3 linked regions of the Oryctolagus cuniculus genome follow. The protein of the gene in region 1 interacts with the protein of each later gene in a biochemical or structural test. Links are inferred from orthologs where the notes say so. Each region holds a gene or a part of one and is shown on either strand. Other genes may lie near its edges.

The links. The genes of interacting proteins can lie anywhere in the genome.
Region 2: the proteins of ARHGEF16 (region 1) and TAX1BP3 form a complex in vitro, tested with the Homo sapiens proteins (2 studies listed by BioGRID and IntAct, with this or other methods). The link is inferred for Oryctolagus cuniculus from reciprocal best matches to the Homo sapiens genes ARHGEF16 and TAX1BP3.
Region 3: the proteins of ARHGEF16 (region 1) and DLG1 interact in a test that uses a peptide from one of them, tested with the Homo sapiens proteins (2 studies listed by IntAct, with this or other methods). The link is inferred for Oryctolagus cuniculus from reciprocal best matches to the Homo sapiens genes ARHGEF16 and DLG1.

What each region holds. Positions count from the first base shown.
Region 1 is NC_091438.1:162,948,560-162,955,463, forward strand, and holds part of ARHGEF16 (rho guanine nucleotide exchange factor 16), read right to left. Parts: intron 6,345-6,904; 5' UTR 6,335-6,344; coding exon 5,762-6,334; intron 2,873-5,761; coding exon 2,827-2,872; intron 2,404-2,826; coding exon 2,237-2,403; intron 1,362-2,236; coding exon 1,305-1,361; intron 1,052-1,304; coding exon 891-1,051; intron 1-890. UniProt on the Homo sapiens protein: Guanyl-nucleotide exchange factor of the RHOG GTPase stimulating the exchange of RHOG-associated GDP for GTP. May play a role in chemotactic cell migration by mediating the activation of RAC1 by EPHA2.
Region 2 is NC_091448.1:48,983,156-48,990,817, forward strand, and holds TAX1BP3 (tax1-binding protein 3), read right to left. Parts: upstream 4,654-7,662; 5' UTR 4,439-4,653; coding exon 4,400-4,438; intron 2,498-4,399; exon of another isoform or gene 2,325-2,497; intron 2,085-2,324; coding exon 1,965-2,084; intron 1,634-1,964; coding exon 1,556-1,633; intron 1,473-1,555; exon of another isoform or gene 1,307-1,472; coding exon 1,169-1,306; 3' UTR 358-1,168; downstream 1-357. Other genes in the region: EMC6 (ER membrane protein complex subunit 6), read left to right, coding at 4,692-4,799, 5,000-5,380. UniProt on the Homo sapiens protein: May regulate a number of protein-protein interactions by competing for PDZ domain binding sites. Binds CTNNB1 and may thereby act as an inhibitor of the Wnt signaling pathway. Competes with LIN7A for KCNJ4 binding, and thereby promotes KCNJ4 internalization.
Region 3 is NC_091435.1:83,756,242-83,763,763, forward strand, and holds the start of DLG1 (disks large homolog 1), read right to left. Parts: upstream 4,654-7,522; 5' UTR 4,286-4,653; coding exon 4,198-4,285; intron 3,756-4,197; exon of another isoform or gene 3,725-3,755; coding exon of another isoform or gene 3,706-3,724; intron 3,057-3,705; coding exon 2,925-3,056; intron 1-2,924. UniProt on the Homo sapiens protein: Essential multidomain scaffolding protein required for normal development. Recruits channels, receptors and signaling molecules to discrete plasma membrane domains in polarized cells.

The sequences.
Region 1 (6,904 bases):
AGTCAGGAGCAGCGGTGCCCACGGACACGGCCAGGAAGGAGTGGAGACCCCCGCTGCCCGGACACAGGCCCAGCACACGCGTGCCCGCCCTGGCCCGACTTGAATGGGCGGCTCTGGGGGCTTCCAGGTGAGGTCTGGGAGCGCCAGCCGGCAGCCGCTGACCCACAGCCGCGCTGCCTGCCCACGGGGACACTGGAACGGGCCAGACTGAAGCCCTGTGGGGCTCAGAATCAGACACAGAGGGCGCCCCAGGGTCAGTGCTGGGGGAGGGGCGGCCAGGGAGTTTCCCACATCCAGTCACCAAGCGCCACAGGAAGCCCTCGTCCCCAGGGACTTCACAGTCCCCACCCCCCGCCTGCCCCCAGCAGGGCTCTGGAGCTTCTTGGGGCTACAGAGGGCGCCAGCAGCCGCCCGCTGGGCTGCCTCCTGTACCCCTGCCCCGGCCCCTTTGGGTCAACAGTGAGGCTCGGGGGCCCCAAGATGGCCCAGGGCCTCCTGGGCAGGGGGAGCACAGGGCTGCGCCCACACAGGTACACCCCTGGGCTGCACCCTGCAGGGGACACAGGTGTCACCCAGGCCCTCCTGCACCTACAAGCCCTGTAACGGGAGCCCGGTCAGGCCACCAGACACCTGCGGTGGAAGACGACCCGGGGCTGCAACTCGAGGCCGCTCTGGGCCAGTGAGCACCTGCCGCAGGGCCCTCTGGGCTGGAGGCAGCAGGGCGCGGCTGTGCCCTGGGGGAAGCGCTCCTCCCCAGTGAACTTCCGGGATGCCCACAGCCACCTCTTGGAGGCTGTCACGCCGCAACCCAGCCAGCCGCCCACCCCAGGTGCAGACCACGGCTCCCCTGGGCCGCCAGAGGCAGGTGCCGGGGCGGGGCGGGGCCTCACCTGCGGCTGGCGGCCAGCACGTCCAGGATGTTGGAGAAGAGGTGGTGGTGCTCTGTCTGCGTCATGGTCGCTCGCAGCTCCTGAGACTGCAGGAACTCGGTCACCAGGATGCCCAGGCTGTGCTGGTATGAGTATTCGGACGTGAGGATCTCGAAGATGGCCTGCGGCGGGACCGGAGGCTGCGGGCGGGCTCCCGGCTCTGGCGACATGGCTGTCGCGACACCCCTCCGGGAGCGGGAGCCCACCGTCCCGGGGCAGGGACGCCCACCCTCGCCCGAGGATTCTGATGCTGCCTGGCATGGGGCGAGGGCGCAGCCATCCTGAGAGCCCAGTGGAGGCCGCCCCTGGGCACTGTCCGTCCGTGTGGCTCTGGCCCTCCCCGCACGGCAGACCCAGCCCGCCCCACGCCCTCACCTCCTGCCTCTTGCGCTCCTCTGGGGTCAGCCTGTGCAGGATGCCCGACTCCACCACCTGGCGAGCACACAGCCCGGAGTCAGGAGGCTGCGCCCTCCAGAGACCCCGGAGAGAAACAGGGCGTCCAGCGCGGGGAGGGGCACTGGTCCCGAACACCTTCCCCGCAAAGAACAGGGCCACGGGGAGGGCGGGGGAGGTGGGGCCGTGGCTCAGTGCATGCTGGGAAGGCGACACGGCCAGCGCAGTGGGCACTGCCCGAGCTCCGCCCTGCAGGGCTCAGGGCTGACGGGACTGCAGGGCTGCAGCCTGGCTCCCCGTGGGCCACCTGCTCGGGGTGAGCCGTGCTCCGCTCCCCCCGGGGCTGCCAGCCCCCATGCCTGCAGCTCCCCCAGGCCAGGGTCTGATTGTCACACGTGCCACCCAGCCTGGGGGAGACCCACACCGTCCTCCCTGGCTGAGCCCCCACGGCTGGAAGCACCGGGGGACCCTCATCCACGAGGTGGAGAAGGAGCCCCACTGCACCCCAGCGGGAGAGCGGGCCAGGCCCAGCGGGCGGTCCAGATCCCGCCTGGGCTCCTGGGAAGCAGCACCCACTTCCTCACACACGGGGCTGTGGTTCAAGCCCTGCGCGCAGCCAGGCCCCCACCAGCCCCGTTTGCAGGTGTGGGGAGCGAGGGGCAGCCGGACTCGAGCTCAGGCCCCGCCCCTCTGTGCCCACCGCCCCCTGCAGGTCAGTGAGAGCAGGGCGCTGACCACGCCCACCCACACCCACACATGTGGTGGCAGGAGCTGCCTGGCCCTGGGTGGCTCCCCTCTCCCGGGGGTCACCAGGCAGGGCGGCTTGGGGGAGACCCCTAGGCCAGCTGCGCACAGGTGGGGCCCTCCGGCAAGGCTGCCCGCGGCCGCCCTGGGCGCAGCAGGCAGGGCCCCACCTCTGGCAGCTGGCTCCAGGTGAGCTGGGCCGGCCGGTAGCTTTCCACCACGATGTGGTCCGCCCTGGGCGTGTCCTCGGAGCCGGGCTGCACGTCCAGTACGTCCTCGTCCGACTCCTGGCCGGTGTTCAGCCCCCGCTCCCGGATCTCCTGGTAGAAGCGGGGGTCTGGGGCAGGGAGGAGGGGGTCTCCTGAGGGTGCGGGCTGTGGGCGGGGCAGGCGCCTTCCCCCACCCCCAGCAGGCCCGTGCGCGGCCATTACCACCCCCTCCTAGCCCCCGATGCCAGCGGGCTCCCCTCTGACGGACTCGAGCCGGGGTACACAGCAGGTGCGCCCTCTGACCTGGCCTCGGTCCCACCACCAGCAGGGCCACCGCGGGCCGGGCCGGGCATCCGTGGAGGGACTGGGCCGCGTCCTTGCCTTGGAACCCCGGGGAACTTTCTGGACCTTTGGCCCCCAGCAGAGCTGCGGTCAGAGCAGCTGTGGGGGCCTCGGGCCCTGGAAGGTCAGGGTGGGCTTGAGGTCCCGTGGCCCCCACCAGCCAGCGCCACGGCGGCAGCGCCGGCCTTTCCGCCCCCGAAGCCGCTCACCGTCCTTGAAGGAGCCCTTGTTTGCTCTTCTCCGCCCCAGCGTCCTCTGCAGTGAGAAACACAGCCGTCAGCCGGGGGTCCGGACTCCACGTGCAGAGCTGGGCCCAGTGTGTGTGTGTGGGGTGCCCTGCCCAGTATGCAGACGGTGCCCAATGTATGTCACTTCCACAAGGGCACGGGATGGGGCTCAGAGCAGGTAGGACATGTGACTGAGGACTGGGCGAGCCCAGGAAGGCTGCCTGGAGGAGGAGGAAGGTTGAGCTAGCGACAAGGTATGCTGGGGAGGGCGTGGGCTTGGAGTGAAGCCGACGCAGGGCAGGTGCGGCTGGGAAGGGGGGTGGGGCCTCTCAGGGCAGCAGGAAGAGCCTGGGGACCCCAGCGGCTGAGGTTCAGGGTGCAGGCGGTGACCGGGGGCCTTGGGGAGCCCCCCTCTGGCTGGGCCACACGACGGGCAGGTGTGCGGCTACCGGGAAAGCCGGGGCTGGTTCCTCGGAACGAGTTCGGACCTGAAACTCCCCTCGCCGCTTGGGAAGGTGCGGCACTCCCAGCACACCTGGCCAGGTCCCCTCCACCCCCCCGCCCCACCCCCGTGCCGCCCTCCTCGGGGGCTGGGCCCTGGCGTGGCCCCGCCCCTCCCCCACCTCGTCCGCCCGTCCCGGCCTCCCTCCCGCAGGTTCCTCCCGGGCCTCCTCTGCTCCCAGTGCCCAGCCGCCTGCCTTGGGCGCTCTCCGGGTCGGGCACGGCGCCCACCAGGCTCAGGGCGTTATCCTAGCGGGGGGGGGGGGGGCCGGGGAAACGTTCGCTGGATGTGGGACCCCCAGTGAGTGCGCGGGGCCGGTGCTGCGGCGCAGCGGGCTAAGCTGCCGCTCGCGATGCCTGCATCTCACGCCAGGGCACCTGGTCACACCCCAGCTGCTCCGCTCTGATCCAGCTCCCTGCTATGGCCTGGGAACACAGCGACGATGGTCAAGTGCTCGGGCCCCTGCACGCACGCGGGAGACCAGGATGGACCTCTGGGCTCCTGGCTTCAGCGTGGCCCAGTCCCGGCCATCGTGGCCATTTGGGGGTGAACCAGTGGGTGGAAGATTTTCTGTGTTTAAATAAATCACTCTTAAGAAACACCAGCGGATGCACGAGTGGCTCCTGGGGGCCTGACCGTGGTGGGCACGGGGCTGTCCCTGCCCCCATAGCGGCAGAAAGCTAGGACTGACACGGGCAGCCGGGGGCCCGCGGGGGTTTCGGGTTGACCCTCTGTCACCACACTTGGGGCCGGAGGCCTGGGCTGTCTGTGAGCAGCCACCGAGCAGGAGGCTGTCTACAGGTGGGCTGGCACCGGGGACGCCACGCTGGGGCCAACCCTCCGACAGCCGGTCCCAGCGTCTCCCAGGGCTGGGGCTGCAGCTGGCGCCCAGCGAATGCACACTTCCCACAGGCTGTGCGCTCCCAGCAGCCCTGGCCGCCTTCCAGCAGCTCAGGAGGGCCGGGGTGGGGCAGTGCCAGCTCCACTCGTCACCCGCATTTACCCGTGAGTACGCCGAGGCCCAGGGTCCCACGGCAGCCACAGCGCACCCAGGCCCTTCTCGGAGGCAGCCTACGAGCCTGGGCTGCTTCCAGCACAGACCGAGCGAGGTGCCCGCCAGTGACCCCCAGGCCCGGGCCCGCCCACCTCACCCCACCCCCAGGCAAGGACCCTGAGCCCCAGACCTGGAGGACGGTGCCCAGGGGCCAGGCTCACTGTGCCCGGTCTTCCGGCTCGGTGGCTGCCCACAGCAAACACCCAGCCTGGGCCACAGGGGACTGGTGACTCAGAGGGCAAGGGACACGGTCCAGGAGCTGCGGCAGCCCAGCTCTGACCCTGGGCCAGGGGACAAGGGGCGCTGCTTGCGGTACCCAGCCCGGGAAAGCAGGCTGTGCGTGCACATGTGTGTGTGTGTGCACGCCTGTGTGTACGTGCACACCTGTGTGGGCGTGTGTACATGTGTGTGCACGCCTGTGTGTACATGAGTGCACCTATGTGGGCGTGTGTATATGTGTGTGTACATGTGTGCCTATGTGGGCGTGTGTGCCTGTGTGTACATATGTGCACCTATGTGGGCATGTGAACCTATGTGTACACGCCTGTGTACATGTGCGTATATGTGGGCATGTGTACATGTGTGCCTATGTGTATATGTGTGCACCTATGTGTGCATGTCTATGCACTTATGTGCATACCTGTATGTGTACATGCGATCGTAAGTATCTGCACATTTGTGTTACGTGTGTCCTTGCGTGTGTTTCGGGATGTGTGTACATGTGTGCATGCCTGTGCATGTGTGCATCTGTGTGTTCCATGTGCCCGTGCAATGCGTGTTCATGTGTGCATGCATGTGCATGTGTGTACATATGTGTGCGTGTGTGCCTGTGCATGTGTGTGCGTGTGTGCCTGTGCATGTATGTACATGTGTGCCTGTGCATGTGTGTACATATGTGTGCGTGTGTGCCTGTGCATGTGTGTGCATGCACGCAGAGGGAATGCAGCTCCTCCCAAGGCAGGGGAGGGCGAGCAGCTGCCCCTCCCTGCGGGGGCGCTCAGGAAGCGCCTGCTGGACGTGGGAGTTGGTGAGTGGGGGAGGGGGCAGGGAGCTCGTTCTGGGTGGCTGCTGAGTCCCACCGAGCTGGCCCGGCTCCCACGGGGGCTCTGCTCTCCACTGGCTGGGAGCGGGGCCGACACAGCTGGAGGCCAGCCTCGGCTGCCCTGTCTGTAAAGTGGGTTATTCACAATCGCAGCCTGGCTATTGGGTTTAACTGGAATAGTCCAGCCCAGAGCCTGCGCACGGCAGGTGCTCACTGAACGTGAGCGGTGCTGCAGGAGGTGGGCAGGACCCCACCCCCAGCTGTGCGCTCCCAGGCCCTGGAGGCACCCCCCACCGCGTCCGGGCAGCAGGTCCCCTACCTTGTTTTTGGCTGGACACCGGGCAGGAGGCTGGCTGGGCTCCTCGGCCAGAGCCTGGAGCCGGGGGCTGAGCTGGGTGGGGTCCCCCTTGCTGCCTGGCGTGGCCAGAACCTTCATGGCTGCCCGGTAGGACTGGTTCCGCAGGTTCCGCCTGAGCATCCCCCCGGGGCCCGTGTCCACATCCATGTCGTCCAGGGAGAAGCTGGGGGCCGAGAGGACCCGGGGGTCCCGCCGGGCGGCCTCCTTGCTGAGCATGGCGGCCCCGAAGCTCTGGTGCCGGGCGGGGCTCTTGGCCTTGCTGGCCACGGCCAGGCTGCGGGGTATCAGCTGCTGGGTGCCCATCTTGAGGGCGGCGGGGCTCTGCGTGCTCAGGATGACCGGTGGGGGCTCCTCGTGCCCTGGGGGAGCGGGGGCGTCAGGCTGGAAGGCGGCGCTGGGCCGGGCCGGCAGGGAGCCCCGGACCACGGGGAGCGCGGGTGCCGGGTTCCCGCTGGCATCGAGCCGCAGCTCTGAGTGGAAGCGGTGCTCCAGCAGCTTCTCCTCCAAGGAGCTGTCAGAGTGCCTCTGGGCCATGGCGGCGGTCCTGGGGGAGGGGAGGGCTCTCAGGAGGGAGGCGCCCACCAGGCAGGTCCTGGGGGGGAGGGGGAGGGGGAGGGCTCTCAGGAGGGAGGCGCCCACCGGGCAGGTCCTGGGAGAGGGGGAGGGGTCTCAGGAGGGAGGCGCCCACTTGCCCCCCTCCCCCGGGGGCCACCTGTCTGTCCTGGCGTGTGCCCCGCCCACAGTCCACAGTGAGAGGTCTGATGGCAGCCGGGAGCGCTGGCCGTGGGCGCAGCCCTGTCACTGCCAGGCCGAGCAGCCTCACACCTGCTCCTGGCCCAGAGAGCTGGGAGGAGGGCCGGGAGGAGGGCAGGGAGGAGGTCAGGGAGGAGGGCGGGAGGAGGGCAGGGAGGAGGGCAGGGAGGAGGGCAGGGAGGAGGGCTGGGAGGAGGGCAGGGAGGAGGGCTGGGAGGAGGGCAGGGAGGAGGGCCGGGAAGAGGGCCGCGCCTGCAGGGCCCCGCTGGCGGGACGGGGGCAGGCGGTACCTGCCACACCCAGGAGGCCACCCTGCCTCCCGACAGCACAGAGGGCAGGTCTGAAGCTGGA
Region 2 (7,662 bases), on another chromosome or scaffold:
GACATCTGGGGTTGTGTCCTGGCTGGGGCATGTTTCCCAAGACCCCCTGGGTGTACGAGGTGCAGCCCAGGTGGGAGCTGAAACTGAATTACACAGGCGGGTTTCAGGCATTCAGGGGCCAGTCCCGGCCCCCACCCCAGTTCCAGTGCAGGTGCATCCAGATGTGGTCCTTGCCTGCTACAGCGGTTCCCACTGAAGCTCCAAGGTCCCACCAGCTCGGCTTCCCTGGCAAGAGGACCTGGGAATGGTCGGGCCTTGTCTTCTTGCCTCAGAGCAGCCAGGGACAAGCCAGCCACCCTGTGCTCGCCCTGAGCCACCCGCACACACCACGCCCCCAGCCCTGGCAAAGAGCTCTCATGGATTCCAGCGTTGTTTATTGGGCAGATGTCAGAGGTGGAACAGTGGCCTCCAGCCCCGTTTCCATGGTAACCAGAGTGAGGCCTGTCCACTTGCTAGGAGCTGCCCTGGATGTGAATTAGTAAGCTAAATTACAGAGCAGAGTGGGCATCTCCAAACAGTACAATAAAAAGGCTTTGTATCAAAGTTGGACTAAAAAAATACAAAAGTTAAACCCACAGGCGTGGAGGACAGTGGCAATCCTGAGATGTCCGCCTCAGAGCTCTGCTAAATCCTGCAGGCAGGCAGGCCCCAGGGAGGCCACCCCTGGGAAGTGGGGTGAACAAGGGGCCTGCCTGCCTCCCCTGGGGCAGGCCTTCCCAGTGCCTCTGGCAGCATGGGTCCAGCCCCTAGTGGACAACACGGAGAAAGTGTGGGGCGCAGGCACTGCGGAGGTGACACGGGAGGCAGGGCAGGGTGGGAAAGGCGTCCCCCCACCAGCCTTCCCCAGCTTTGGCGGCTCTCAGGAAGTCTTTCCGGCTTCCCTGGGGCACTGCTGTGCAGGCAGCAGGGTCTGGGGGCTGAGCCTAGGGTCACTGCAGCCTGGAAGCCACTTGGCCCCAGACCCTTCTTCCCAGCCCTCAGTTTCCGAGGGAGCCAGCTGGTCCCAGAGGCCTCGGGCTGGGGGCGGGAGTGTGACAGGGAGGCGGGATCAGGCCTCTGGGATCAGCTGCGGCTCAGCATTCAGCCACAGGCGGGACGTGGGACAGATAGCGCGTGGGTAGTGGTGTCGCTATACAAACAGGCACGAGCCAGGGAGCCTGGCGGGCTGCTAGGAGAGCATGGACTGCTGCACGGCCTTCTGCAGCGACTGCCGCGTCACCAGCAAGCGCACCACCTCCTCCGACCGCTTGGTGAGCCGCTTCCGGGCCTGGTCGTGTGTGACCATGGTCATGTCCCAGCCGTTCACCTGGCCCACGGAGAGAACAGCCCAGCTCAGCCCACTGCCCTCTGACATCTAGAGGCCAGGGGGCTTTAAGAGGCCTGGGTCACCCCTCCACCTAGCGTCCCTGAAGTACACAGAGGAGAGCCGGCTTCCTCCGGGGCAGTACCAGCATGGGCTCCAAAGGGCTTTGGTGAGTGTCTCCCAGCCCCCACCCACAAGTGTTTCAACCCCTCTAGCCCCAGCCATGTTTTCCTCCTCTGGGACACCTGTTACCTGCATGATCTTGTCTCCAATCTGCAGGCCAGCAATTTCAGCAGGGCCTCCTTCAGACACCCGTGTGACATAAATGCCCTGGGAAGAGAAGCCTGGGTCAGGCCCTGTGGCCCCTGGACTGGCTCTCATACACAGAGGAGGCCCAGTATAGCACACCCATAGCTGTCCCTCTGTCCCTGTCCCCAGCCTCCCCTGGCACACAGCTGGTGAAGGCTATGCCAAGCAACCAGGGATGCCCCAGCCCTGGCTGAGGGCCACCTCCCGCTCCTCCTGGGCAGCTGGGCAGACCGACCTCCACCCCTACTCTTTCCCAGCCGATCATTTCCTGGACCCTCTGAGATGGGGTCTGCTCTTCCCACACAGGCCCAGGAAGCAGTGCCCACCCTCTCAGGCCTCCGGTCCCCCTCACCTTGTCTGTCTTGTCCTCCGAGAAGGGGTTCTGGGAGGGATCCTGGTCAATGCCCCCTCCAATGCTGAAGCCCAGGATTAAGTTCTCCCCTTGACGCAGCTTGTGAATTTCAACTCTTTGCTGGCAAACAAAAAAGGAAGCTGGCTTAGGTGGGCATGTAGAGAAGGCCTCTGGTAGTGCCAGGCCAGCTCCGAGCCGTGCCAAGGGGTGGGGCCCGGAGTCCCCTACAGGAATGCAGCTGGTCCCCAGCCCTGGAGGCTGACCCCCTCACCCAGTCCTGCCCTCCACTTTCCCCCTTCCCAGTCTCAGGTGCCAGTCTTAGTCACAAGTGCTCACAGCCCCTCCTGGCCTATGAGCCAGGGCTCCACCTAGGACACGGGGTGGGAAGGGCCAGGCCCTGAAAAGGTGACACTGCCGTTGGGAGCCAGCCTGTCACAAGCAAGGCAGGAGGTGCTGGGACAAAGTGGAGCAGATCAGCCGGGGACAGAAGAGGACTGCAGATGCTGGACGTTTGTGACACTGGCACCTGCAAGGTGAGATGGGGCTGGTGCCAGACAGAGAAGTCTGGGATGCAGGACCACCAGACTGGTCCCAGATGAGGTCAGGGGTCTCCTGGAGCCCCGGGCCCTGCTCATGCACAGTGCAGGTGGCAGAGAAGTGTTCTGGGGCTCTCCCAACATGCTCTGGGGCTGGGGTGCTCAGAGCCTTCAGCAGGCACCCTCAAGTCACTGCTGGGAGCCACACCAGATCAAAGCTGGGAGCTGGGGGGGAGGGAAGGTGACTTGCTCGGCCCTGAGGAGGCTTCACCAAGGAGGGATCATTTTGAACCAGGACTTGAGAGGATGATCAGGAGTTTGGCTGCCTGGCCTTGACCCTGGAACCCAGGGGAGCTGACCAGGCTTGGGGAGTAGGACAGGGCATGGTCAAGTTTGAGGCTAGAACAACTACTTGGGCAGTCAGAGCAGGTGCCTCAGAGGCTGGGGTGGAAGCCTGGGGACAGGAATGCTGAACACGGCAACATTCCAATGGGGGGACCCAGGAGAAGGAGCAGGTGGGGCTGGAGTGCTAGGAGCCATCCGGGAAGGTGTCCAGGAGGCAGATGGTCAGGGAGAGGCCAGGCCCACCCAGGCGGCTCCTGGTGCTGCAGACCTGGGCGCGGCATAGTCTTACAGCCTGAAGGAAGACCTTGGGCCCACCTGTGGCATGGGGTGGGGAGGAGGAAGCATGAACCCTGAGGCCCACTGGGTCCAGTACCCAAAAGAGGGCTCCTGCAGGTCCATCCCACCTCCTCCAGCACATGCCCTCAAGGGAGAAAAGCGCACAGCCCTTGAGGTGGGAGGGCTCTGGCACTGCCTCGCTGGGTGCTCTCTGGCCCCTCCCTTGCACCACCTTTATTCCACTTGAGAAGCAAAGCTGACCCCTAGCCTCTGGGCAGCTGTTGGGCTCTGCAGAGCTAAGCTGGTGCCCGCAGGGTGAGGCTCAGGACGGCTGTCAGTAGCTAAGCAGGGCCTTCTCCAAGTTCACCCTCGTGCCACCTTTATCAGCAGCCTCTTTGCCTGGCTGCAGGAGCCCATGGGAGATAGCACAGCCAGTCCCTGCGGCTCCAGGGCTGGGACTTTGGCTTGACCTCTCACAGGCGGAAACCTCTGGGGAGCTGGGCAGGAGACCTGGGTCCTTCCTGGCGGCTTCCTTTATGGCTGGGCGTAACCGGACTTCTTTCTGGGACTCTGCGGGAGGGGGAGGGGGTGGCCTCCAGGGCCTACTCAGCTGGGACACAGACGTGTGGGTGTCAGCTCCCTTTCTCCCTTCGCCTGTTCTGACAGCACCTGGCACACGGTGCGCCGAAAGTGCCAGGCGGGAGACCTGCCCCTGGCCCCAAGGGCTGGGGATCCAGCAGCTGAGAAAAGGATCTGGCTGGTAGGGTGCGCATTCACTCCAATGGGGCAGGGGCCTCCCTCCGGCCAGCCCCACCCCCAAATCTCGCTCCTCGGGGCGGTGGCGCCGGCTGGAGCGGAGGAAGCACTTCCTCATTCCAGAGGCTGCGACTCACGGACGTCGGGCCGGCGCCCGCCCCCCGCGGCTGCCCAGCTGGGGGCACCGAAGCCCTGCGAAGGGGCGCTTTCCCAGACGCCCGCATCCGGAGCCTTGCTCCCCCGTGCTCCCCGCGCCGGCAGGCCAAAGCAGCCTGCCTCTTGGGCGACGGTGCGCGGAGTCTGGCCTCCGTCTGGAGCCTCGGGAGGCTCCTAGCCCCCAGAATGAGCTTCGTGGCCGGAGGAGGCTGCGGCCGCGCTCCTGCAGAGACCCGAGCCCTGACAGCGGGTTTGCACGGGCCCCCGCCCCGGTTCGCTGCTTTGCAACCTGACTGGGTGTCAGTTTACCGCTCTGAAAAATGGGGGCAAGTCGAGACGAAAAAGAGCCCGCGCGAGTACACTCACCACCACCGCAGTGACCGGCTGGCCCGGGATGTAGGACATCTCGATCCCAATCTGGTAACCGGGGACCGCTCAGCGAAGCCCGCAGCTGGGATTGCCGCGGCCGCTCCCTCCCTGGTTAACAAAGGCACCCTGGCTGGGCACGCCCCCTTATGAATAGTTAACAGATCTCCAGCCAATCACCGGCCGGAGCGCTGTTCGGCTTTCGGAAGTCCCGGAGCGTGCGTAGAAAAGCGGGGAGAGGGTGGAGCGTGCCCGGCGCGCAGGCGCGAGAGGCGTAGTTGAGCCAGCGCGCATGCGTAACGGGCCCTCCCAGCATCCTCCAGCACAAGATGGCGTCCCGGGGGTCTGTCCTGCTTCCTGTGTGAGGGAACGCTGGGACTATCCGCCCGCCGTGTTCCAGGTAACGGGGCTCTCCTGGCTAGGGGACACAGGCGTGTCCCCGTTCTCCCGGCCGGCAAGAGCCGTCAGCGTCCTCGGCGTCTTTGGGGAGACGGAGATCCAGGACTAGCGCCAGGTCTCGGAAGCCCCAGGGGGAGGGGGAGGCCATGGACCCTACTCGCCGCGCTCCGGGCGCCACTTGTAACTCGGTTTTCCCCACAGCCGCGCCTCGTTCCGCGAGAGAGCCCAGGCCGAGCCCCGGCGGGTGCGATGGCCGCGGTGGTGGGCAAGAGGGAAGGGCCGCCGTTCATCAGCGAGGCAGCCGTGCGGGGCAACGCGGCCGTGCTGGACTACTGCCGGACCTCGGTGTCGGCGCTGTCGGGGGCCACGGCCGGCATCCTCGGCCTCACCGGCCTCTACGGCTTCATCTTCTACCTGCTCGCCTCCGTCCTGCTCTCCCTGCTCCTGATCCTCAAGGCGGGCAGGCGGTGGAACAAGTACTTCAAGTCGCGGCGGCCGCTCTTCACGGGCGGCCTCATCGGAGGCCTCTTCACCTACGTCCTCTTCTGGACCTTCCTCTACGGCATGGTGCACGTCTACTGAGCGAGGGCGGGACCCGGTCGGCGGCGCTCCGCGTAGACTCGCCGAGGTTTTCAAAGTGTTGAGTTCGCTGCTTGTTCTGTAACGTTATACATAACTTATCTCTGAGGACGACGAGCCCGTAATGTTTTCAGATTAAATGAAGTGTGAGACGCTTTGTTGGACCCTCTCTCCTCCTCTAGCGCACGGGCTGGGTGCGGAAGCCGAACAGGTGGGGGCTGGGGACTGGGCGCTAACCTGGCCAGCTTGGGGTAGCGTCTAGGAGCTATAGACGGCATGGTAGTGCTGGGTGGGCTTTGATCTCACTCGATTCTGTTTATTTTTTTAATTTGTTACAGGGAGGGAAGAGGGGGGAGAGGGAGGGAAGTGAGGGGAGGGGGAGGGAGAGAGAGAAAGATCTTCCATCCACTATTTATCACTCCCTTTTATGGACGCAGCAGCTGGAGCTGACCTGGAGCCTCTTCTGGGTCTCCGGGTGCATGCTGCTTTCCCAGGGACCTGGGTTGGAAGTCGGGCAGCCGGGACTGGAACCGGCGCCCACAGGGGATGCTGGCGCTGCAGGCCGGGGCTTTAACCCACAGCGCCGGCCTCTAGCCCCCTTGCTCCTGGCAGTCTACTGCCTCACTAAGGGGCTGCTGTGGCTGGGGCTCAGTGAGGACCAGAAATGCTGCTCGCTGGGAAGGCCCAGGGCCAGGTGTCAGGCCTTGGTCTCGTAACTTGCTCTCGTTGGCCGAGTGTGCCTGGAGGGAGAACTGTGTCACTTCAGATCCCTTTCACCTGGCGACACTGTGCTGCCTTTCCCATAAGAAAAAGCAAATCCAAGCTAAACTGGGTGTTTTAACATGGGGATACCTCTGCCTGTGTTAATCCATCACCTTTCTTTTCAGGAGGGTTATCTTAAGTGCGAGTGCCTAATCGAGAAGTAAATACTGCTCCAGAGTCGCAGTAATGAACAGGTTGCTGCAAGAATTGATAGTCTGCCTGGGGAGAGCAATACTCTCTGTGGTGAGTGGTATCAGGAGAGAGTGGTAGGGCCCTGGCCCAGCCCAGGGGGACGTGGAGGCCCAGGACCGCGGCAGCAGACACCGCTGCGTCTGCAGCCTGGAGGGGAGGGGCTGTCTCATCATTAGATGGGACAGGAATTCAAGAGCCTGGACCCAAGCGCCCGTTTCATTTACTGAGCCTAGGTGGCCCCGGCCGACCATGGAAGGGGATCTGGGACCCGGCCTGAATTCCGTCCGGGCCCCAGGCCAAAGGCTCGGCACAAAGCCAAGGAGCTGCTCCTCCGTCCACCCCTGAAGCGCCCGGTTCAGGTCTGCCCGCCTGCCCCTCTCTCCAGGCGTTGGAGGGGGAGGGAGAGCCAGTCCTGAGGCAGAGGCGGCAGGAAGCCTGGCCTTGAGCAGACCCTGCCCTGTTGGGCACTGAGTGCCTTCCGGTTCGCAGCATTTTGAGGGGATTTAACAGGCCGCCCGGGCACAGGCTAAAAGCTGGGTTCCGGAGTCACCAGCTTCTACTCGTTGATTGAAAAGTGTCAGTTTGACCCGTGCCTTCCCAGTCTTCACGCATAACATAGGCCCATTTCAAGGGTTTCCACGCTTGAGTTTGAATTTCTCTGCCAGATAATGAGGAACATGCTACAGTGCTTACTCACTGTTGGGTCTGCCTCTTTCAGTCTCTTCTTCTAAAATCAGGCCAGGTTTAAAATGGACATCTTTTATTTATTGTTTTAGAATTACATGAAAGTATCCGAGAATGCACATCTTGGACGCCCCCCACGGTCTCTGCCGCCTTCCCTGGCCTCGGGGGACAGCAGGCAGAAAGGGGAGAACAGGTGTTCCTGGGGCCCCAGGTGACTGCCCTGAGGGGAGCTGCAGCTCTAGGGAGGGGGTGGCTTAGACCAGAAGGAGCCCTCCCAGACGTTGAAGACGCCTTTCCACGTGGCGCGATGTGGGAGCACTGGCTGGCTGCTCTGACACCCAGAGATCTTGCTCCCCCTTCACAGCTGTTCCCGCGGAGGAAGGAGGAAGACCCCAGCATCAGGGCCAGGGCACTTGGCTCTCTCTCAGCTGGGTCCCCGTCATGTCATACGGAGCCCACCCAGTGTACAAGTCTCCCACCAGCCAGGGTGCGCCCAAAGGCATTTCTCAATCTCTAGGAAAATACCAGGTGGGCAGGCGTAGGCTGGGCTCAAGCGTGACACTCAGGCGATACACAGATGCGGGAGGAGCTCCTGAGGGGCGGGAGCTCTCGCCCTCCCGGGAAGCAGTGTGGGCCCAGAGTGAACA
Region 3 (7,522 bases), on another chromosome or scaffold:
TCTCTCTCTCTCTCTCTCTCTCTCTCTCTGTAACTCTGACTTTGAATAAATATCTTTAAAAAAAAAAAAGCTCATGAAAAAAGACCTACTAGAAAAACTAAATTGCAAAATTTTTTGCACCAAAATATACTTATCTTAATTCCTTTCTCCATAAACTTTTTGAAGTACATAAAAATTATATCCAGATATACAAGGAACTGAGGTCAAATAAGTCATACTGTCTTTTCTACAGTGACCCTATTAAATAAAACAACTAAAAAATTATCCTTCCCCCCCCTTTTTTTTTTTCCAGAGGAATCAAATTTAGTCATCCATTTGGACCTTAAAGTTCAGATCTTAGAAACCAAAATGCAGAGGCAGATGTCTGGCATAATGCTTCAGATACCACTGGAAGGTCCGCATCCCTTATCAGAGTTCCTAGGTACCAGTCCCAGCTCTGCTCCTAGTTCCAGCTTCCTGCTAATGAGCAACCTAGGTGGGTGGGGCAGATAGTACCTAAGCCATTGCCTGTGCCACTCTCATGGGAGACCTGGATTGAGCTCCTGGCTTATCGATTTAGGAAATGTACCAGCAAATGGGAGATCTGTCTCTCTGCCTTTTAAATAAATAAAACACAAAAAAAATTTCAAAAGACAAAGATTATTTTAAAAATTTAAATGTAAAAAAGTCTATCAATATAAACACAAATGGAAAAATATTGGTAAGTTTTGAGATGGGTGACATATATGTGGTAGTTCACTACACTGTGCTCTCTATTCTTATATATGTTTTTGAAAGTCTTTGAGAATGTTAAATTTCTAAAACTGTTCAGGTGTACCAAGTAGCTGTATCAAGTAGTCTTCGTAAGAAATAATTCTAGGGGCCAGCACTGTGGCGCAGCAGGTAAGGCTGCCGCCTGCAGGGCCGGCATGCCATATGGATGCTGGTTCAAGTCCCGGCTGCTCCACTTCCAATCCAGCTCTCTGCTGTGGCCTGGGAAAGTAGTAGAAGACAGCCCAGGTGCTTGGGCCCCTGCACTTGCATGGGAGACTGGGAAAAAGTCTCTGGCTCCTGGCTTCAGATCAGCGAAGCTCCGGCCGATGCAGCCATCTGGGGAGTGAACCAGCAGATGGAAGACCTCTCTCTCTCTCTCTCTCTCTGCCTCTCCTTCTCTGTGTAACTCTGATTTTCAAGTAAATAAATTATTTAAAAATTCAAAAAAAATTCTAAAATAAACCAGAAACATCAATTCATCAATAAGTTATCAGGAAACACCGAAATGAAGGTAGTCCTCAAATCAATAGAAAAACATAAGACCATATCTGCTTGGAAGTTACTGAGGAAATATTTCTAACACCATGAAGTCTATGTCTCTGTATTTTAAAATGTTATATAGTCAATGACTAATTAAAAAGATAAATTTTTAAGACGCTGGCACTGTAGCATAGAGGGCTAAGCCACCACCCACAGCACCAATATCCCATATGGGCACCAGTTCCAGTCCCACCTGCACCACTTCCAATCCAGCTCTCTTCTAATGTGCTTGGGAACACATCAGAAGATGGCCCAAATCCTTGGGTCCTTGCACCCTCGTGGGAGACCAGGATGAAGCTCCTGCCTTCAGTCTGGCCCACCCCTGGCTGCTGTAGCCATTTGGAGTGAACCAGTGGACGGAAGACTTCTCTGTCCCTGCCTCTCTAACTCCACCTTTCAAATAAATAAATAAATCTTTTTTTTTTTTCAAAATTAAAATTTTATTCTTAGAACTGAAAGGCACAAATTTTCTTTCCTTTTTTTTATTTGACAGGTAGAGTTATAGACAGTGAGAGAGAGAGACAGAGACAAAGGTCTTCCTTCCATTGGTTCCCTCTCCAAATGGCTGCCACACTGGCGCTGCGCCGATCCAAAGCCAAGAGCCAGGTACTTCCTCCCAGTCTCCCATGCGGGTGCAGGGCCCAAGCACTTGGGCCATTCTCCACTGCCCTCCCGGGCCACAGCAGAGAGCTGGACTGGAAGAGGAGCAACTGGGACTAGAACCTGGCACCCATATGGGATGCCGGTGCCGCAAGCGGAGGATTAACCAAGTGAGCCACGGCGCTGGCCCCTGGTACAAATTTTCTAGTTTAGTGGTTTGCAAACTTTTAGAGATATCCCAGCCACTTTATCTATCACTACATTTTATGTAACAGGGAGTGTATACAAAACACACAATTCTGTTTTTAAAAAGGATCTAGTTACCTAACAAAAAAAGACTTAAAACCCACTGTTATATTTCACCACTCACATTCTACAGTTCTAGAAAAGGTTAAAAAACATGTGTAATATCATTCAATTAATGGTAGTGTCAAGAACTGAATTTGGGGCCTTGACTATTTATCCAGTCTCCTTTAAAACAATACACCACCTCAATCTTTAGTATGAATAAAATTCTGTTTCAATGTTCTTGTCTGCAAAATAGTTATTAAAAAAAAAGATCATCTCTGAGATCATTTTTCAGATCTAAATTTCTGGCTCCATAAATGCCAAGCTTACACAGAGTCCTATATTAAGAGAATATTCTTGAACATAGCAGAAACACCCAAATATTCCTAAGGATGCCAGAGAAATACAAATCAAATACAGAAAATAAGCTGCTAATGATTCCGTCGCTGCTTTCTGAGTCCTGAAACTTTCTGCAACTTCTCCATCTTTTAGCTAATGCAAGAATATGAAACACTGTTCTCAAAATGACTGAAATAATTCTACTTAAAGTGGATTATTTTTGGTTATTAGATAATTCTAGAAAGGATACTAGCCTAACCATGATAAGCATCATCAACCATGAAGATGTTCAAACTGCCACATAGAAAATCAAGTACATATCATTCTCTTAAGTTTAAATAATTGAACTCAGAGGAGCATAACCAGCTGACACATACGGTCACAAATAAAGTTTTAATTCCTACCTATTAAAGCCTGAAAGAGGTTGCTCTGAAATATGTTAATAACCCGTTCTATGGAACTTCTGAGATGTCTGTCTTCAGTTTGGCTTAGTTTCAAACGATATTCTTCCAAAAGGTGCAAGGCTCTCTGGGTATCTGAGAAAAGAAGAGACTGATTAAAAGTGTATACATATTTACAAACTTTGCATGCTAGTGCACATGATTCCGCAAGGCATCTGAGCAGTTCTGCAATTTCTCTAGGTCAATCAACGGCAAAATGCTCATGTACACCTGTTCTCCAAAATGATCAGAAAACTGTTGGAACATGCATCCCAGTAGCAAAAGGAAGGAAGGAAGCAGTGTATAACAGATATGTACTGTTAGTCTGTCACAGTGAGAGTGTCTGATGCAAGTATTAGCAGCACCGTTTCAGATTACCTGATAAGCAAAAGCAGATTATCTACAAGTTGTCATTATACTTCAAATTTTAAGCGTTTCAAAATACTACTCTTAGCATCCCACAGCTGCTCACCCAATAGTGTTTACTAAGAGTGATAAAGTGAAATACTGAAAACCAATTCAGAGCTTTTTTTAAAGGGGCGGGGGGGGGGGCGGGACTAACTGCCTCTGGAATTTACTAGAGGAAGAAGAGTTGAACAGGTGTCAATCTTTGAAATGATGTGAGGCTTAGATTCCCCAAGCAATGACACTAGCTCCACAGTGTCTCGTCAAAGTTACACAAAGATTTTCAACACAGCAATCACAAAACTGACATCCACAAGAGTGTTCTGAAATAAATCCTCACCTTGCTTCCGGACCGGCATTTTTCTCCAGAATCAGGAAGCCCGCACACACCTTTGCAAACACAGAACGGAAAGAGAGGAAACAAAACAAAACTGAAAAATAGAATCGAGCAGAAACTAGCATTTCCTCGTTAAATCTCCAACCGAAAAAAAAAAAAAAGCCCTATTATCCAAAGCCCCCCTTCCAAAGTTTTCCCAAGTGAAAGGAACAGCCTCAAAACCCAGCAGTGTCAGCCCAGGTAGAAAGCGTTCTCCTCGGGGTGGATCCCCCCGCCAATGAAGACCAGACAATCAAGTCGGCTTCCCAGTTCTCTACAAAAGCTTCCCCCCACCTTACAGAGCACACTACCTGCCAGGCCGAGGGGCCGCCTCCCCACCTGCCCCCGGGGGCGGTGGGTATAGGGGCGCTCCGACCCTGGGCCCCTAGGGCGCCAGCGGCACCGAGCGCTCGGAAAAGGGACCCAGCCCTGCCCGAGCCCCCTCCTCTCGCTTGCCTTTCTCCTTGCTTGTTTCCTCCGGGCTACTCCGGCGGGGTCCGGACAGGGCAGCGGCCGCTCTCCGCGACGCCCTCGCGCCCCACATGCACACCTCCGCGGGCCCCCACACCTGCGGCGCTGCCACAAAGTTCCCGCGAGCGGCGTGCACTCGGAGCTGGGGTGCGCTCCGGGCCGAGTCGCAGCAGCTCCCCCGCCCAGCCCGGCTCCACGTACCCCCGCCCCGCCCGGGGCTCGAGGAGCTGAGCTGAGGGGGTGAGGGGACGGGGGAGGAGCTCCCCTCGGCGGCCGCACCCCCGCTGCCTCGTCCTCCTCCTCGGCCGCCGCAGCCGCCGCCTCCTCACACGCCGCGGCCAGCTAACCCGCTCGCCCTCTCGCTTGCTGGCCGCCCCACCCCCGGAACCTCGCCTCCTTCCGCGCCCCCGGTCGCTCTCCCCCCAAACTTTCCGCCAAGATGGCGGCCTCGGAGCTGGACTGCCGCGCTGCCACGTGACCGCTTTCCCGGCGCTCGCAGCCAATGGGAAGTGAGGAGGCGGCTCGCGCCCAGCCCCGGGCTCTCAGCACTGCTACCTTAGGGTTGAGAAGGGGAGGAGGACCGGGAGGAGGCTGGGGAACGCGAAGGGGGGCCCGGGGAGCATCCCGAGTGAACCTCCTCGCTTAAAGGGGCGGCCGCCCAAGAGGCTCGGAGGACAAAGGAGTTGACACACGGACTCTACAGGTGGTCCGGGGTTGCCCCTTTACCTCGCTGCACCCCACCGTGTGCCCCGCGGTTCTGGAGGTGCAGCGTGCGGGACTGGAAAGGCTCGGGGTCTCTGAAGACGGACGCGACCCCATCTACACTGGGTCCCAAACGCACATGCCGAAACACCCCTTAACCTGACCAAACACGTGCTCCACCCAACTCCACGACCGGACAGGGCGCCTGGCGCCGCCGGGGTGCCTCCTCAACTGCGCAAACCCCACTCGGGGAGGAGCCCACGGCGCCACCCACGTTAGGGGGCGGGGTAGCCGGCGCTTGGGAGAGGAGAAAGGAGGGGTGGGGAGGGGCGGGGGTGCCCTCTCCAGGCCACCTTCCCCGTCCTACTGATTGTCTAGAAGTTATTATGCGCCCCACTTTAAAGGTTTGAGACTTTTTCATTAAAGAAGGGCATGCGCAGTAGGGAGACCGGGAAATGTGGCACGAGTTTGAGGCTTTCAATAGAGGATATTTAAGTTGAGGTCTGGGTCCCAAGTCTGAGCGCACTGAAGGGTGACGAGAGAAGGTTCCTCGTTCACTGGCTCATTCCTGCATTCATCCCCCCAAGCCTGCCGTCCCCGCCCAGCCAGCACCTCAGGCGTGGCTCAGGCTCTGGAGGCCCCTTTAAGACCTCACCTCCGCCGGCCCGGCGCCCTTCAACTTTCTCGCGCACCTCGGAGCGGAACCGCCGGCCCGCTGGAGCCCTGCGGGCGGCAGAAGGGGAGGTACTGAGCGCTCCCCAGGTCACTGCCAGGTCTTCCGCTTCTTCTGGGGAAGCGGGACCTCCCTGCGCTGAGGTCCCGAAGGAAAACTTGACCAGAGTTAGTGACAGAGCTGGAAACCGGGAGATTTCTGTCCTTTGACCGGAACACTCTTCCCGGTGAACCCGACTGCCTTCCCCTCACACTGTGGCCATTGGCTAATAACGGGGAGTCCCGGGAGCCTCGTACCGTAACCGCAGCTGCGGCTCCGCGCTGCTGACCCCTGGGTTTCACTTTCTGATGCACCTTGGAATCCTAACTGGGGAGACGCCGAACACACTAGAGATCATCCAGACCCACTCTCTCGGTCTTGATGAAGAGACTGAGCTCCACAAAGGGGAAGCAAGTTGCCCGAGGACACGCAGGCTCTTCGGTGACAGAGCAGACCAACAACTCGGGGCTTCCCTCTGCAGGCCAGGGCTCTTTCCACCAGGCTTTTGGAGAACTTGACAGCGTCGTGTTGAAATATGAGAGAAGAGGAAGGAAAGTTTGCTGTAACCCTTGATACTACTCATGATTCACATATAAAGGTGCTTCCAAAATATTAATGGAAAATAGAATTAAAACATTGTAATGCCAAAAATGATACTTGCACATTTTCATAATACCCATTTGCCATGAACTTTTTGAAGACCCTTGTTTGCATGGATTTCAAAATTGTTTACGCCAAATAAGCTTATCTTTTACTTCTGTTTTTCACAAATCTTCTGATTTTCTTAAAAACTAATTTTTATTTATTTTATTTGTTTAAAAGACGAGAGGTAGGGAGGAGTAGAGAGAGATCTCTCATCTGCTGGTTCACTCCCCAAATGCCAACACCAGCTGGGGTTAAGCCAGGCTGAAGCAGGGAGCAGTGAACTCAATCTAAGTCTCCCATGTGGTTGTCAGGGACTCAAATACATGAACCATCACCTGCTGCCCACCCGGGTGTGCATTAGCAGGACGCTGGAGTCAGGAGCAGAGCCAAGACTTGAACCCATGCACTCTGATATGGGATGGGGCTGTTCCAAGTGGGTCTTAACCACTACACCAAATGCTCTCTCTTCACAAATCTTTCAAAATACTCTCACGTGTGCGCTTGCTAGGCAATGGGGAGAGAAAGAAATGAGACACAGGATCTGTTCTCAAGGATCCACAATCTCATGGCTGATAAACAAAAGCCAGTACAACTTTCCCAGAAGCCAGAAAAGGGGTCAAAAACAAATTGTGTGAGGATGAGGAGAAAAATAGGGCATGTTATTTATCAAGTCATCTACTGTGACTACCCTGTTCAGTTGTCAGGAGTGCCCAAAAGCAGGACTGGACCTCACACTAGCCCGAACTTAGGGCCAGGAAAGGTTCTGGCCACGTGGGAAGCATCATTACTCTTTACTCTCCTTTCTATCTGTCTGAGTTATTGGTTGCCACAGAACAGATTCCCCAAAGTTGAGTAGCTTAAAACTTAGCATGGGGCCGGCACTGTGGCATAGTGGATAAAGCTAAAATCTGCAGTGCCGGCATCCCATATGGGCACCAGTTCAACTCCCAGCTGCTCCACCTCTGATCCAGCTCTCTGCTATGGCCTGGGTGAGGAGAAGATGGCTCACGTGCTTGGGCCTCTGCGCCCGTATGGGAGACCCAGAAGAAGCTCCTGGCTCCTGGCTTCAGATCGGCACAGCTCTGGCCATTGCAGCCATCTGGGGAGTGGACCAGCGGATAGAAGACTCTCTCTCTGCCTCTGCCTCTCTGTAACTCTGCCTTTCAAATAAATAAATAAAACTTTTAAAATAAATAAATAAACAAAAAGATCCTATAATGAGGGCCAGTGCCATGGCACGACAGGTTAAAG